3 linked regions of the Arabidopsis thaliana genome follow. The protein of the gene in region 1 purifies or fractionates together with the protein of each later gene. This does not show direct contact. Each region holds a gene or a part of one and is shown in the gene's direction. Other genes may lie near its edges.

Region 1 (3,940 bases):
AAGTAGTACTATATTAATAATGATTCTTCAAATAGAATATTGAAAATTCAGTGTCATTTAGTTAAAATGATGTGATCAATGCATGTGATCTACGTAAAAAACAACATGAAATGAGAAGTCGCATTAGCTTGGTTAACGAACAAATAGAGAAGGGTTAGTTAATGCAGAATTGCTACAGCTGCTTATGAATGGGTCTGGCTAATATCATAGATCTTAAATTGCACAAAAATCATATAGTAGTAATGTAGTTATAATTTTTAAAAACTGTAATATAATAGTACCACTTAATAAGAGTTGAAAAGAAAAGACAAAGGCGACAGCAAGAATATATACAGACACAGTCCTTGGTTTTACCGTTATTTTCACAAATGAAATATATTAAAATTTCGGTAAAGACTAAAGACGAATTTGGCATTTCGATGAAAAAATCAACTTTTATATTGTTTTGAGTGTAAACTACGTACCTATCTTCTTAGTTCTTCCCATGATTTTAATGTGCACGGTAGGATATTTAAAATAACTCGCATCGAACAAATCCGAATTCAATTATTCAAAATTGAACCTATCCTTTTATGAGTACTAAAGGACGACAACAAAAATAGTAGTAGATAATTTCAATGCGTGGATATTTGAATTTAACTACTTTAATGTTATCTTGTGTCTATGTCATTTAGCCGTTAAGCTTATTATTTAAAAATGTAAATTTGTAATTAATAGATTTTTCTTATAAAGATGCCAAATATTGAATACATCTTTTTCCCAAATGTTATGTACAATTTGTAGGTACGTAATGTGGTCATGTCATCAAGTGTTTAATCTCACAAGTCGAAAGTAAAGGTGATATATGGACCAAAACATAAAACTCAAACGATATATGGACCAAAACATAAAACTCAAACGTGACAGTGACCAGTAATATGTACACTTTGACATTTTTCTTTTATTGGCAAAGGATTTGTTTGCAATAACAAAATAAAGTTTATAAAAGAATTAAACATGAACCATATCAACCAAAAAATAGAAGAGAAAATAAACACCCTATAAATGTAGCATTCAAAGAAATATACAAATTCTCAACCATCGTTTCACCAAACTAATAAGTGGTAAGTTGATAACTACTGATCAAACCAACATCACTAAGTAAGTAAGGGACCCCAATCGAAGCAGAGCCTAAGCTTTGTTTAGAGAGATCTTCTTGGTCTTTTGGGACAACGGTAACATCAGGTTGTAGTGTATAATGTCAAGGTGATAATGGTGATTATGTTCCTTCCAAGTTTCATAAATCGCCATCCTTGGAGCAGACTCAAGCTTTATCTGTTGTATCATGCAGCAACCAAGAGAAGTTGATTCCAAGATGAAGGAGCCAACTATAAATATGCAGCATGGTAGTGACTCATTGCCATATCTGGGAAGAGAATTGACACTCAAATTCTGTTAAAATATACACATGACATTACATAATTGTCTAAGTTAGTTACTAAAATAACACAAACTAAGTCCAAAATGAGCTCTGGTTTAGTATGATCAATCGGAGTCAAGTAAATTTAAATTCATCAAAAATATTTTACTTTTCATTACAGATTTACATATATACAAAATAGTACAAATTACAATTCATTCATATCAAGGTTTCACTCTATACCCAAAACTGGGAAGAATAAATTTTATCATTAATTTGTTTATTTCCAATTTTGTAGATACCTTTACCTATTTGAGAGTTGAGACCTATGTTATTTTTTTCCAAATAAAGAACAACCTAAATGTTAATTTTACTTTTTCCGGACTCTCTTTGGGAACGAGCCACTTTGAAGGCCCATAAATAAGCCCAAATATTTGTCAGTTTATTTGGGTTTAGGGTTTCTCAGAGTCTCACAGCTCAGGATATACTCTTTTAGGTTTCAACAGCAGCTTAGTCTCTCTGATCTCTCTACCTCCCTCACACCCTAAAACTCAGCAACAATGGCCGTTACCTTTTCAGATCTACACACAGAGGAGGGTGTCAAATCCGTGGAGGAGCACCTCGCCGGAAAAACCTACATCTCCGGGTAAAGTTTCTCACTTTTCCTATTGTTTTTGCGACACGATTCGATTGTTTCTATTCCCGTTTTGACGTATAAGAGAGTTTGAATTTGCAGAGATCAATTGTCTGTGGATGATGTCAAGGTTTACGCTGCCGTTCCAGTGAAACCCAGCGATGCCTTCCCCAATGCTAGCAAGTGGTACGAGTCCGTGGCTTCCCAACTTGCTAAAAGGTTCGTCCTTTTTTCGGAATTTTGTAATAATCGATTCAGATTTGGATTTGTATATTGATCTTCCAGGAATTGACGAGTTTTGATTTGTTGCAGTTTCCCTGGAAAGGCCGTTGGAGTACAATTCGGTGGCTCTGCTGCTGCTGCTCCAGCTGTTGAAGCTGAGGTACCTTTACTTGAATGCTTTATTCTTTATTACCATAGTCGTAGACCTTAGAAAAAGGGTAATGAATGTAGTTTGGAACTATGATTTGAAAGGTGATATTTCCAATCTTGTATTAGGGATCACGAGCTATGTTTGGTAGGGGAATTGATTGGAGTTTGGTTTGGAATGTTGTGTGTGTGTGTGTGTGTTTACGCTATCTTGCATAATTGTCAACAGGCACCTGCAGCTGCAGCTGATGATGATGATGACATGGATCTCTTTGGTGACGAGACCGAAGAAGAAAAGAAAGCTGCAGAGGAGAGGGAGGCTGCTAAGAAGGACACCAAGAAGCCTAAAGAGAGTAAGCCTCTTAATTGAATTCGATAGTACATATACAAGCATGTGAATTAGTAACTGCATCTTAAATTTTAATAAGGGTTCTAACTCTCTTTTGAATTTTGAACTCTTTGTTAGGTGGAAAGTCTTCTGTGCTCATGGATGTTAAGCCATGGGATGATGAAACCGACATGAAGAAACTGGAAGAGGCTGTTCGTGGTGTTGAGATGCCTGGTCTTTTCTGGGGAGCCTGTACGTTTAAACTTTCAATCTTTATATCAGAGTAAGCTTGTTACTCTTTGGGTGAGACAGTTTTATAATTGATATTTTTTTTCTCCCTGTCTTGCAGCAAAACTTGTACCAGTTGGTTATGGGATCAAGAAACTCACAATTATGTTCACGATTGTTGATGACCTCGTGTCCCCGGACAACCTCATTGAAGACTTCCTCACCTCAGAGCCTAACAACGAGTACATCCAGAGTTGTGACATTGTCGCTTTCAACAAGATTTAGAGACTTCAAATTTCTCCTTACCGAAACATATCTGAATTTCAAGTTTTGTTTTCGTTTGTGTTGTTTACCGAAATGTTTCTTTCCTAGTTGCAAGACCGCTTTCATGTTACAATAACACTAAATTTTCAATGGTTACTATTCCGTTGCATCATTGTTAAGAAACATTTAGATACTTTGACAAATTCTCTATTACTTCAGAAATAATTACGTATCCTGCAGCTCCCATAACCAGAGAAAGGGTGAGTTTTCCTCCGGGAACAAGTTGAGGTAATCTTGTCACTGTTGATGATGAGACTATGTACCTATCTGACCAAGACATTGCTGCTGGGAGGATTCCGAACAATACCAGAACTACGAAAGAGAACATACAGTTGTTAGGTTTTCATGTTTGAACTTGTTGATTCAGGTTTCTCAAGAAGAGACTTACCTCCATATGTCCCGGCAAAATCTAAGGCCTTGAAGAAAATCTCTGGATCCAGTAGGGACAGAACAAGCGGTGGAACGAGAGTAAGCAAGTAAAGAAGAGGCTTGTTCTGGCCACTCGGGAGCTTCAATACTGAAAGTTTTCGATGAAAGAATAGATTATACAGTTATGTCTCCATGGCTGTAGATTTAGTAGAAAAACATAAAAGTTTGATTGTTTGATGATACTTACAGTCAGAGAAGAAATCAGAGAGGCCTAAGACAAACCCTATAT
Region 2 (5,223 bases), on another chromosome or scaffold:
TCTCTCAATCTCTCAAGAACCACCAAAGAAAGAAAAACAGAACAAGAACAGAGGATCCAAGAAATAGGAAGAAGAAAAGACGTGAGGCTTTTACGATTTCGGGACTTGATTGAGATCCCTACGTTACGTAATACTTGCAATTCACTATCTTCTCAGTAACTGAATTTCTCACACGAAATTACATATGTTAAAATGTATATATATATCATACACAAGATGGATCCTTGCTCTACCTTTTTATAGCATGCTTTGTTACAACAACTTTTTTTTTAATTTGGTTGTTGTAAAACTTTGTTTCAACAATTATAACAGCCTTTTAACATAACATGGACATTAAACCAAACCTAAAGCGAGTCTACAGCAGCTCAATTATCGGTTCTAATCCGATATGCACATAGCCAACCCACGGTTAAAAGTTGATTTCATTTGATTTCCATCACCAAGGTCAACACTATCAACGTTTTTTGTTTTTTTTGGTCTAACTATCAAAGTTTAATTTCCCATAATATGAAGCTAACCATGCAATGTTGTAAACCCGAATTACATTTTGGTTTCTTAGACTTGATGATGAGTTGATGACTAATTGAAAACAAATTTAAGAGCTTACTAGTGTTCTCTCCAATGCTTCTTTTTTTTTAAATTGGAATTGATCACACACATATATATATTTACGCATATATGTATATATGGATGTGAACAATTAGTATTATTTTACAATAATAGTAAAAAAAAAAATGAACTTACAAATTACAAACCAAACTTGACGATATATGCATGCTCTTTGAGATCATCACACGAGTTGGTCGGAGCCACCTTTCGCAGTCTTGTCTGCTTCGGCTGGTCCATGTTTTTTCTCGGCTTTACTATCTGCGATTCTCTCTCGAGGGCTACACAAGATTCTTCCCAGAAAATGGGAAGCAATTGCCAAGAATATGATCACTATGACGATCAAACACCATTGCCAGATTGGAACCTCCATATCTTTAGTTTGGATTTTTGGTCACACAAAGTAAACGCAGTGCAGAAGAAGAAGAGGCGGAAGATGCTTGAAATTAAAGTTGTTGGTACTGTTGACCAAAAGGAGTAAGTTGTGAAGAAATGATACGCAAAGACTTGTGGAAGGTAACCAATTTTGTAAACTTCGTAGAAGAAATCGAACTCAATAAAAAAACATCTATATATGTATGACATACGAACAATAACATAGTTTAGTGGACCTACCAATAATGCCCTCTAATAGTTTTGGAAGCTACTTAATTAAAAGATTTTATTTCATTTTCACAAAGTGAAAGAAGGGTTACAAAATTCATCAATTTTGTATTTATTCAAACCCATACTTGGAGTTGGTGTATCAAAAACCTAATTATATTAATTGGCATTGTACGTGGTAACGTTTTAGTTTACATCTATGGATCAATCTTGCATAATAAGTTAATAACCCTTTTGAATTTAAAAAGCACAACACAACTTATTTTTAAAAAGGATATATCATTTTCGGATTTAAAGTTTAGTTTGTATGGTCTAAAACTTTGTTTTTGGTTGTCGTTTAGGATATCTTGGAGAGGAAGAAACCACATAGAGACATGAATCAGAGAAGTAACTTTGTGAGGTTGCTTCTACGAATTTCGATGAACTAGTGTTTCTTTTTCTTCTTTTTCAACAACATGCGAGTTTGGCACACCAAGGATATGGATACAACCAACTAAACTACATATCAAAATGGCCATGGGGAAATGTCAGCAAAATCTGTCAAAAAATGCAAAAACAAAACTCCAACTTTACTTTGGGTAAAACAATACGCTAATTTTTATTATGTTATACATAAATGCAAAAGTTATAATCGTTTAAACCTTAAAAATAAGCAAACCAAATTTGACAAAACCAAAAGCTAAACCGAATCAAACGAAAAAGGAATATTCTCCAAAACCGACTTCACACAGCCCTAATTTCCACACTCTAATACTATTTCTCGCCGCCGCTTTTGTATCTTCTTCTCTCTCGCTTTGCTCTCTCGGAATTGTTTTTGCAGAAAGTCTCTCGTAAGAATCAATCTATCAACTTCTTCTTCATATACGCTTCTCTCGTTTCAAAATTTCATCGACGATTAACTGATTTTTACTTGGTGTTTTCTTTGGTAACTAGATCTGAACTCAGAAAATCTCCGAGTTCGTATATCTTCTCCGTTTGAGCAATGGCGTTGGTAAGTACTCACTTCTGAGATCATTACACGTTTCATCAGATCCGTCACGATTGGTTTTACTGATCTGTTGATGATAGTTTATGAATTTTGATTCATGTATCTTAAATCTGGGAATATAGTTTGATTTTAGAATGATTTAGGTATCTTGGACGATTGTTTATTAATCTGAGAACTGGATTTTGTGTTGCATTGAAAAACTACTTTGGATGAATATAACTATGCAATTTCTGTTGAGTTTCATTGATGAAGTTTGTGTAAATCATACTATTTATCAGGTCATGCACACATACAAGGGAAACAAAGGTGCCAATAAGGCACTTATTGCTGCAGAGTATGCGGGTGTGAAGATCGAGGAGTCCGCAGACTTTCAGATGGGCGTCACTAACAAGTCACCTGAGTTCCTTAAGATGAACCCTATTGGAAAGGTATGGAATCTCTTTCGAGAAGTTTTGATTGATGTTTGCTGTAAATTCCTAGCTAATAAAAGATTATGATCCCACTAGGTTCCTGTGCTTGAGACTCCTGAAGGTCCCATATTTGAGAGCAATGCCATTGCCCGATATGGTATAACTTCATTTCCTTCTGTTTCTCTTTGATGCACCTATCTATAACTTGGTATTAATTGGATATGATGATTGTTTTGTTATCCCCCTTCAGTGAGCCGTAAGAATGGTGACAACTCTTTGAATGGATCCTCCCTTATTGAATACGTAAGCTCCTGTTTATCCAATGGCCTTTCCTTTTAAAATTATCGTACCTTTGTGTTTATCTCTTGTTTACTATCATTGATTCATGTCTATGTGCATGTGTTTACTTTTCAGGCTCACATTGAGCAATGGATCGATTTCTCCTCATTGGAGATTGATGCTAACATGTTGAAGTGGTTTGCTCCAAGAATGGGCTATGCTCCCTTCTCTGCCCCAGTAAGCTTTCCCTCATTTTTTGTGCCTTGTCTCATGCACTCTCTGTACTAACAAATCATGCTACTCCTTACTCGCTAAGATTAGTATTTGACTAGTCTAAGCTTGACTAATCTTTTTAATGGTTTTATCTGAATGAAGGCTGAGGAAGCGGCAATTTCTGCATTGAAGAGAGGACTTGAGGCTCTGAACACACATCTCGCCTCCAACACTTTCCTTGTTGGACACTCTGTCACCCTTGCTGATATTGTCACAATCTGCAACTTGAACTTGGGATTTGCCACCGTGATGACCAAGAAATTTACCTCTGCATTCCCTCATGTTGAGAGATACTTCTGGACAATGGTTAACCAGCCAGAATTCAAGAAGGTGTTGGGTGATGCCAAACAAACCGAAGCTGTCCCTCCAGTTCCTACTAAGAAAGCTCCACAGCCTGCTAAGCCCAAGGAGGAGCCCAAGAAGGCAGCCCCTGTAGCAGAGGCACCAAAGCCTGCTGAGGAGGAGGAAGCACCAAAGCCTAAAGCCAAGAATCCTCTTGACTTGCTACCACCAAGCCCAATGGTTCTCGATGACTGGAAGAGGCTTTACTCGAACACCAAATCCAACTTCCGTGAGGTTGCTATCAAAGGTATGTTATATGATGACTTCTGTTAATTGTTCTTTAGAAGAAATTGTTCTAGGTTTATGGAATCAACTTGTTAAGAAGAAAGCTACAAAAATCCGAGACAATGTGCTGTGACATCCTTATAATACCAGTGCTTACTAACGACTCTCTAAACAATTCACAGCTGCTCTAGTCTACTAAATTGCCTCCTAAGCTAGATATAGTAGACTTAGAGGGGTACTCACTATGGTTTATGGGACATGTATGGCCCAGAGTCTGAAAGTACATTCTATTAAGCTCAATGCCTTGAATGTTTTTCTTCATTGCAGGATTCTGGGACATGTATGACCCGGAGGGGTACTCACTATGGTTCTGTGACTATAAGTACAACGATGAGAACATGGTCTCCTTTGTTACACTCAACAAGGTAGGAGGGTTCCTTCAGCGTATGGACTTGGCACGTAAATACTCCTTTGGAAAGATGCTTATTTGCGGGTCAGAGGGTCCTTTCAAGGTGAAGGGTTTATGGCTTTTCCGTGGACCAGAGATCCCCAAGTTCATAATGGATGAGGTGTACGACATGGAGCTGTACGAGTGGACTAAGGTTGATATCTCCGATGAAGCACAGAAGGAGCGTGTTAGCCAGATGATTGAAGACGCTGAGCCATTTGAAGGCGAGGCTCTTTTGGACGCCAAATGCTTTAAGTGAAAAGGCTCTTTGTATCTCCGTAGAGGTTTACTCTGTTACTCGTGTTTTGATACCTTCTAGAGAGTCCTTACCACCTTTTGAATCGTACTCGGGTTTAAGAACTAGTTGCTTCTCAATGTTATTTTGACAGAATATTGTTCTTAAATACATTACAACTTCTAGTTATTGTTTTTATTTTGTTTTTTATTATCCAAACTCGTGTGTGTGACATTCTCTCTTTAAATTAGTTGCTTGGAAGATGCAAAGAATCTCGTTTAATGGGGCATACTGAATTTCATTTTAAAGTTGTAATATTACACGTCTCTAACTTGTCTCTAACACGTCTCTAACTTGATGATTCAGATATGTTCACTAAAACCCAAATTCCTTTTAAGCCAATCGAATGTTGGTCTACACAGCAACATTTAAGAGATAGGTGTAAGAAATAGAGCCATGAGGTGAGCTTATAAGGAGAGTGTATGTTGAACATGTTCATAGATATTAGGTCCGAGAGGCTTAAAATCACTCAAGTTTATTAAGATGAGAAGATATACCAAGTAAACCTAATTCGTTCTCTACAAAGAGTTTAATGACCAAAATAAACAAAAGGTAGATTAAGATCTTGTCTTAAGAAAATCAAATAAATCGAATCATTACTATATTATCTCAAACAAATCGAATCATTACAATATCATCTCAAGAAAATCAACAAATCATCATTCTTAACCTAAAAACCCTAAAAAAAGAAATCTTCATGACTCTGTTTAGGAGTAGTAGGGATAATCGTCGTCATCTTCATCTTCAAGAACAG
Region 3 (5,186 bases), on another chromosome or scaffold:
ATTTTTGGTTTTGCCTGTATTCTTGTTGACTTCCGTTTTTTTTTTCCCCCTTTTTTTTAATTAACTTCCTTTCTTTGCTTTTCCATTTCTTCTTGATTGAAAAATGTATATTGTGTGATTTTGTCTACTTTATTTAAATTATCTTTGAAATCGAAGAATTTCTGCTCTATTAAAAATTCAAACTATAGTCTACGTTGGTATTTGTTTATTTCATTTTATACTCTGCTTATTTTTCTGATACTACATTACAACTACCACTCAAAACTACAATTAATTCCCTAAAAATATTTTTCGTTTCCAAAATTTGTTTTGTGTGAACGATTCCGAACTCCACAATTGATATAAAAAATTATCTTTGAGTTATATTATCAACAACAGAAAAAAGAAAGAAAACAAATACAACGCAAGCCTTGAAATAAAGTCTCATAGATATTTGGCTTTTTTTAAGTGCAACACAAACAAAGCCTTTCAAGACGATGAGCAACAAGGCTTCTTAGCGTTTGATTCAGAAGTAGCAGCCACATCAATTGTTTGGCCTTCCTTGATGTTGGCATTTGCAGTTGTCTGGTCTGAAGATATCGACTTCTTGCTGATGATCCTATAAACCTCCGAGAGAATCGTCTGAAAAGCCTTTTCTACGTTTAATGCCTCGAGAGCCGATGTCTCGATGAAAGATAAGCCTTCTTTCTCTGCATAGCTCTGAGCATCCTCTGTGGCAACTGCTCTGAGATGCTTCAGATCTGTCTTGTTCCCAATCAACATGATCACTATATTGGAATCTGCATGGTCTCTTAGTTCTTTTAACCACCTGCTTACATTCTCAAACGTTGTTGGCTTGGTGACATCATAGACCAAAAGAGCTCCAAGTGCACCTCTGTAATAGGCGCTAGTTATGGCTCTGTATCGTTCTTGCCCAGCCGTGTCCCATATCTGAGCTTTCACAGTCCTTCCTTCCACCTTAGAACAAAGATCATAGGTTTTTTAATAGGTTAATTCAGATCTAATGAGCAGCAGACTCTATGATTAGTGTGTCTGCAACAACAAAATTAGTAACTTCGCAGCTAAATTCCACAAACAACCCAGTAAGAAAACTAGAAACTGTGAAACAACAACCATGATTCATACTTCAAAAGAAAATCATGTTCGAGATCAATTTCAGATGAAGAGATTCTTAGATCTGCCTTAAACAAGGTTTTAGATCTGACATGTGAGGGAGCCTTACACTACCACGTACCAGAGTATCGACAAATTTGGGAACATTATCAATAAAACGCTTAAATTAAGAGATACCAAAGCAAAAATCTCGACCAAATGAAAAAAACAGGCACCACACATGTAAACATCAAAATTCAAAACCAAGCCCAAATGTTCCTACACACAATGACTGCTTCCGAGTATTCATACGAACACAGATACGGATCGAATCGAAAAGCACCGGATGCTGCTTAACTTAGAACTAAACCTAGATCCAGCAACATTTCGATTACACTATATACTATATATATAGAGAGAGATGTGTGCGTACTTGGAGAGTACGAGTAGCGAATTCGACACCAATGGTGGATTTGGATTCTAAGCAGAACTCGTTGCGAGTGAATCTAGAGAGGAGATTAGACTTGCCGACACCGGAGTCTCCGATCAAAACCACTTTAAACAAGTAGTCGTATTCTTCGTCCGGTCTTCTCGCCATTGTTACACTTTTCTCGAGGAGTGCTTTAGATTTGGGATTTTGAAATAGAAAAGGAGAAGATGACAGAAATAAATAAATAATTTAATTTCTCTTTCCCCTTGGATCTTCTCTATTCAACCTTCTCGGCTTGTTATTGCCCAACGACGAAGACCTTTTCTTGTCAAGTTGGGCTTACTAAAAAAGCCTACATATATGTAATTCATTTATACATGCTAATAAAAGGGAAAGTAATTAGAGCTTAACCGGAAAATAAACAAAAATCAGAAATAAAACCAAACAAAACCGAGCCAAACCAGAGGAATACACTCAATACAGATTTTAAAAACCCTACTTCTTCATCATCATCCCTTCAACACTCCTTTATAGCTTTTCTCCGCCTCAACTTTTTGCTTCTTCTCTCTCGATTTGCTCTCACGGAAGATTCTTCAGAATATCTGGTAAGATCCATCGATCGAACAATCTTTTTTTCTCCAGTTAGCTCATATTCATATTTATGATCATGTCAATTGCGAGCTCACTGCTTGATTTTTTTTCCTTGGAACCAGATCCGATATCAGAAGCCCCAAGTTCGCTTGAATTCCGTCTGAGCAATGGCTTTGGTGAGTTCTCTATGATTGTCTACTGTTACGATCGCATCATGTATCGATATAATTGTAGAAACGTTAGATTTGTAAATTTTAGGATCTAAGTTTATAGAACGATTGTTCATACACCAAATTGATTAAAATTATGTTAGTTTGGATATGTAGCTACTCTATTGTTAAGTTATTGATTTGGAATACGTATTATTGTGCTGATGATGAATTACGATTGCAGGTCTTGCACACGTACAAGGGAAACAAAAGTGCTGAGAAGGCACTCATTGCAGCAGAGTACGTTGGTGTGCAGATCGATGTGCCCTCTGACTTTCAGATGGGTGTCACTAACAAAACCCCTGCGTTCCTCAAGATGAACCCTATTGGAAAGGTTTGTCATCACTGGTGTTTGCTAAATTTCTGGACTGAGTATTATTAAGTCTATTTTTCAGCTAACCAAGAGTTATTGATCTTGCTAGGTTCCTGTACTTGAGACTCCCGAGGGTTCAGTATTTGAAAGCAACGCAATTGCCCGTTATGGTAAAGCATTCATAACTTTCTCCTTTAATTGTCTCTCAGTGTCTAGTTTGATTGCTTGTTGTCGTTTGGGTTTAATGGATCTGTTGATATCTCAATACAGTAAGCCGATTGAATGGTGACAACTCTTTGAACGGATCCTCCCTGATCGAATATGTAAGTAGCTGTTTTTTCCCTGGGGGCTACTCTTCTCTAATCCATTGACACCTCTTCTATTGTTTGTCATTCTATTTGTTAGTATTCTCAATGGTTATCTGCATGTTGTTTTTTCGCAGGCACAAATTGAGCAATGGATTGATTTCTCTTCATTGGAGATCTATGCAAGTATCTTGAGGTGGTTCGGCCCAAGAATGGGCTTTATGCCATACAGTGCTCCGGTAAGCTTTTTTGACTTTCATTGGTTGTTTCATTCACTCTTTGTGATGGCAATCTAGGTATTCTTTTCACTATATAAATAGTCTCATCCGTGATTGTTATATAAATGAAGGCTGAAGAAGGTGCGATCTCTACGTTGAAGAGAGCACTTGATGCTCTGAACACACATCTCACGTCTAACACTTACCTTGTCGGACACTCTATTACCCTTGCTGATATCATCACTGTCTGCAACTTGAACTTGGGATTTGCTACTGTCATGACCAAGAAATTTACCTCTGAATTTCCTCATGTTGAGAGGTACTTCTGGACTGTGGTTAACCAACCAAACTTCACTAAAGTGTTGGGTGATGTCAAACAGACTGAAGCTGTCCCTCCTATTGCTTCCAAGAAAGCTGCCCAGCCTGCAAAGCCCAAAGAAGAGCCTAAGAAAAAGGAAGCCCCAGTAGCAGAGGCACCTAAGCTTGCTGAAGAGGAAGAGGCACCAAAGCCCAAAGCCAAGAACCCTCTTGACTTGCTACCACCAAGCCCTATGGTTCTAGATGATTGGAAGAGGCTTTACTCAAACACCAAATCTAACTTCCGCGAGGTTGCTATTAAAGGTGTGTGGTGATATCTTCCTCTACCTAGTTTTTCAGCTTTGCTATCAGGGAATTATTTAGCTATTGGAATCAATTGTTTTTTATCATGTCTAATATTGTGGCTCAAATGCAGGATTCTGGGACATGTATGACCCAGAGGGATACTCACTATGGTTCTGTGACTACAAGTACAACGATGAGAACATGGTGTCATTTGTCACGCTCAACAAGGTTGGTGGGTTCCTTCAGCGTATGGACTTGGCACGTAAATACTCCTTTGGAAAGATGCTGATTTGTGGGTCAGAGGGTCCGTTCAAGGTGAAGGGTTTATGGCTGTTCCGTGGACCAGAGATCCCAAAGTTCATAATGGACGAGGTGTACGACATGGAGCTGTATGAGTGGACTAAGGTTGATATCTCAGATGAAGCCCAGAAGGAGCGTGTTAGCCAGATGATTGAAGACGCAGAGCCATTTGAAGGTGAGGCTCTCTTGGACGCCAAGTGCTTCAAGTGAGAAGAGAGAATGGTTTGGTACTTCCATTTACAGGTTTTGCAGCTGGGGCTTTACATATCTTTCTATCTGTCTGTCTCACATAGGGGTTTTGCTCTGTGACGTGTCGCATAGACTGTTTTTTTCTTTTCTAATCGAGTGTCAAGGACAAGTCTTTTTAGTTCTTTGTTAATGTTTCGCCTCCGTCCAGAATTGTTTACTATACCAGTTTTCGAAATCCTGACCGGCCAGTCTACCCTGGCAATAGGCAATACATGGTCTGGTTTATTTGTTTTACGGTAATTTTGCCTTGATTGATTTTCTTTGACGCGTTTCGGTCAACTTATATACATTGGTCTTTGAGTTGAACATTTAGTGGTAAAGTCTTTTTGGCACATATATTGAACATTTTTCCAATTTTAAAAATTGCTGAAAAAGCAAACTCTTGAAGAATAATAAGTCTAGTTAATTTCGTAGAAGAAGAACTGGCATGTTCATCTCGAAATTAACTAACGAATAAAAAAAGGTAGACAACTTAATACGCCACACAACTCTAATAAAAGAACATGTAACTTATGACAAAATAATGTAACATTTGTTCATAATATTTTTCGTATCAGATTATATATACAAATTGCTGATTATAATTATTATTCGCTGTTTGACCAAAAAATAAAAAATTATTGTTTCGCTGAGAAATGTATAGATAATTATATTATACGTTAGATTGGTAACTACCAAAAATATTACTATATGTTAGATTGGTCACAAAATAAGAAAAGAAAGGTAGTGTATATCAATTTATTAATGACGTATTTAATAAAGTTGGTCTCAAGCGAAATGAATTGTTCTTTACTGCTACAAGGCATATAATCCTGTAAAGAAAATCTGGGTGGTCGAATTGTTCTTTTCCCTTTTTCTAATTTCAACATCAAAAGT

Evidence for each region. Proteins that work in one complex are often made in the same cells at the same time.
Region 2: the proteins of AT5G19510 (region 1) and AT1G57720 fractionate together in Arabidopsis thaliana (co-fractionation; one large-scale study listed by BioGRID). This does not show direct contact.
Region 3: the proteins of AT5G19510 (region 1) and AT1G09640 fractionate together in Arabidopsis thaliana (co-fractionation; one large-scale study listed by BioGRID). This does not show direct contact.

What each region holds. Positions count from the first base shown.
Region 1 is NC_003076.8:6,581,157-6,585,096, reverse strand, and holds AT5G19510 (Translation elongation factor EF1B/ribosomal protein S6 family protein), read left to right. Parts: upstream 1-1,848; 5' UTR 1,849-1,959; coding exon 1,960-2,045; intron 2,046-2,135; coding exon 2,136-2,252; intron 2,253-2,345; coding exon 2,346-2,415; intron 2,416-2,631; coding exon 2,632-2,755; intron 2,756-2,868; coding exon 2,869-2,982; intron 2,983-3,079; coding exon 3,080-3,243; 3' UTR 3,244-3,397; downstream 3,398-3,940. Other genes in the region: AT5G19500 (Tryptophan/tyrosine permease), read right to left, coding at 3,398-3,594, 3,671-3,799, 3,899-3,940. UniProt on the Arabidopsis thaliana protein: EF-1-beta and EF-1-delta stimulate the exchange of GDP bound to EF-1-alpha to GTP.
Region 2 is NC_003070.9:21,375,682-21,380,904, forward strand, and holds AT1G57720 (Translation elongation factor EF1B, gamma chain), read left to right. Parts: upstream 1-1,638; 5' UTR 1,639-2,039; intron 2,040-2,053; exon of another isoform or gene 2,054-2,142; 5' UTR 2,143-2,191; coding exon 2,192-2,200; intron 2,201-2,475; coding exon 2,476-2,625; intron 2,626-2,703; coding exon 2,704-2,764; intron 2,765-2,857; coding exon 2,858-2,910; intron 2,911-3,021; coding exon 3,022-3,123; intron 3,124-3,261; coding exon 3,262-3,748; intron 3,749-4,053; coding exon 4,054-4,433; 3' UTR 4,434-4,698; downstream 4,699-5,223. Other genes in the region: AT1G57730 (RING/U-box superfamily protein), read right to left, coding at 5,177-5,223. UniProt on the Arabidopsis thaliana protein: Probably plays a role in anchoring the complex to other cellular components.
Region 3 is NC_003070.9:3,117,882-3,123,067, forward strand, and holds AT1G09640 (Translation elongation factor EF1B, gamma chain), read left to right. Parts: upstream 1-1,857; 5' UTR 1,858-2,127; intron 2,128-2,235; 5' UTR 2,236-2,280; coding exon 2,281-2,289; intron 2,290-2,506; coding exon 2,507-2,656; intron 2,657-2,744; coding exon 2,745-2,805; intron 2,806-2,905; coding exon 2,906-2,958; intron 2,959-3,077; coding exon 3,078-3,179; intron 3,180-3,289; coding exon 3,290-3,779; intron 3,780-3,891; coding exon 3,892-4,271; 3' UTR 4,272-4,661; downstream 4,662-5,186. Other genes in the region: RAB11c (RAB GTPase 11C), read right to left, coding at 469-957, 1,526-1,690. UniProt on the Arabidopsis thaliana protein: Probably plays a role in anchoring the complex to other cellular components.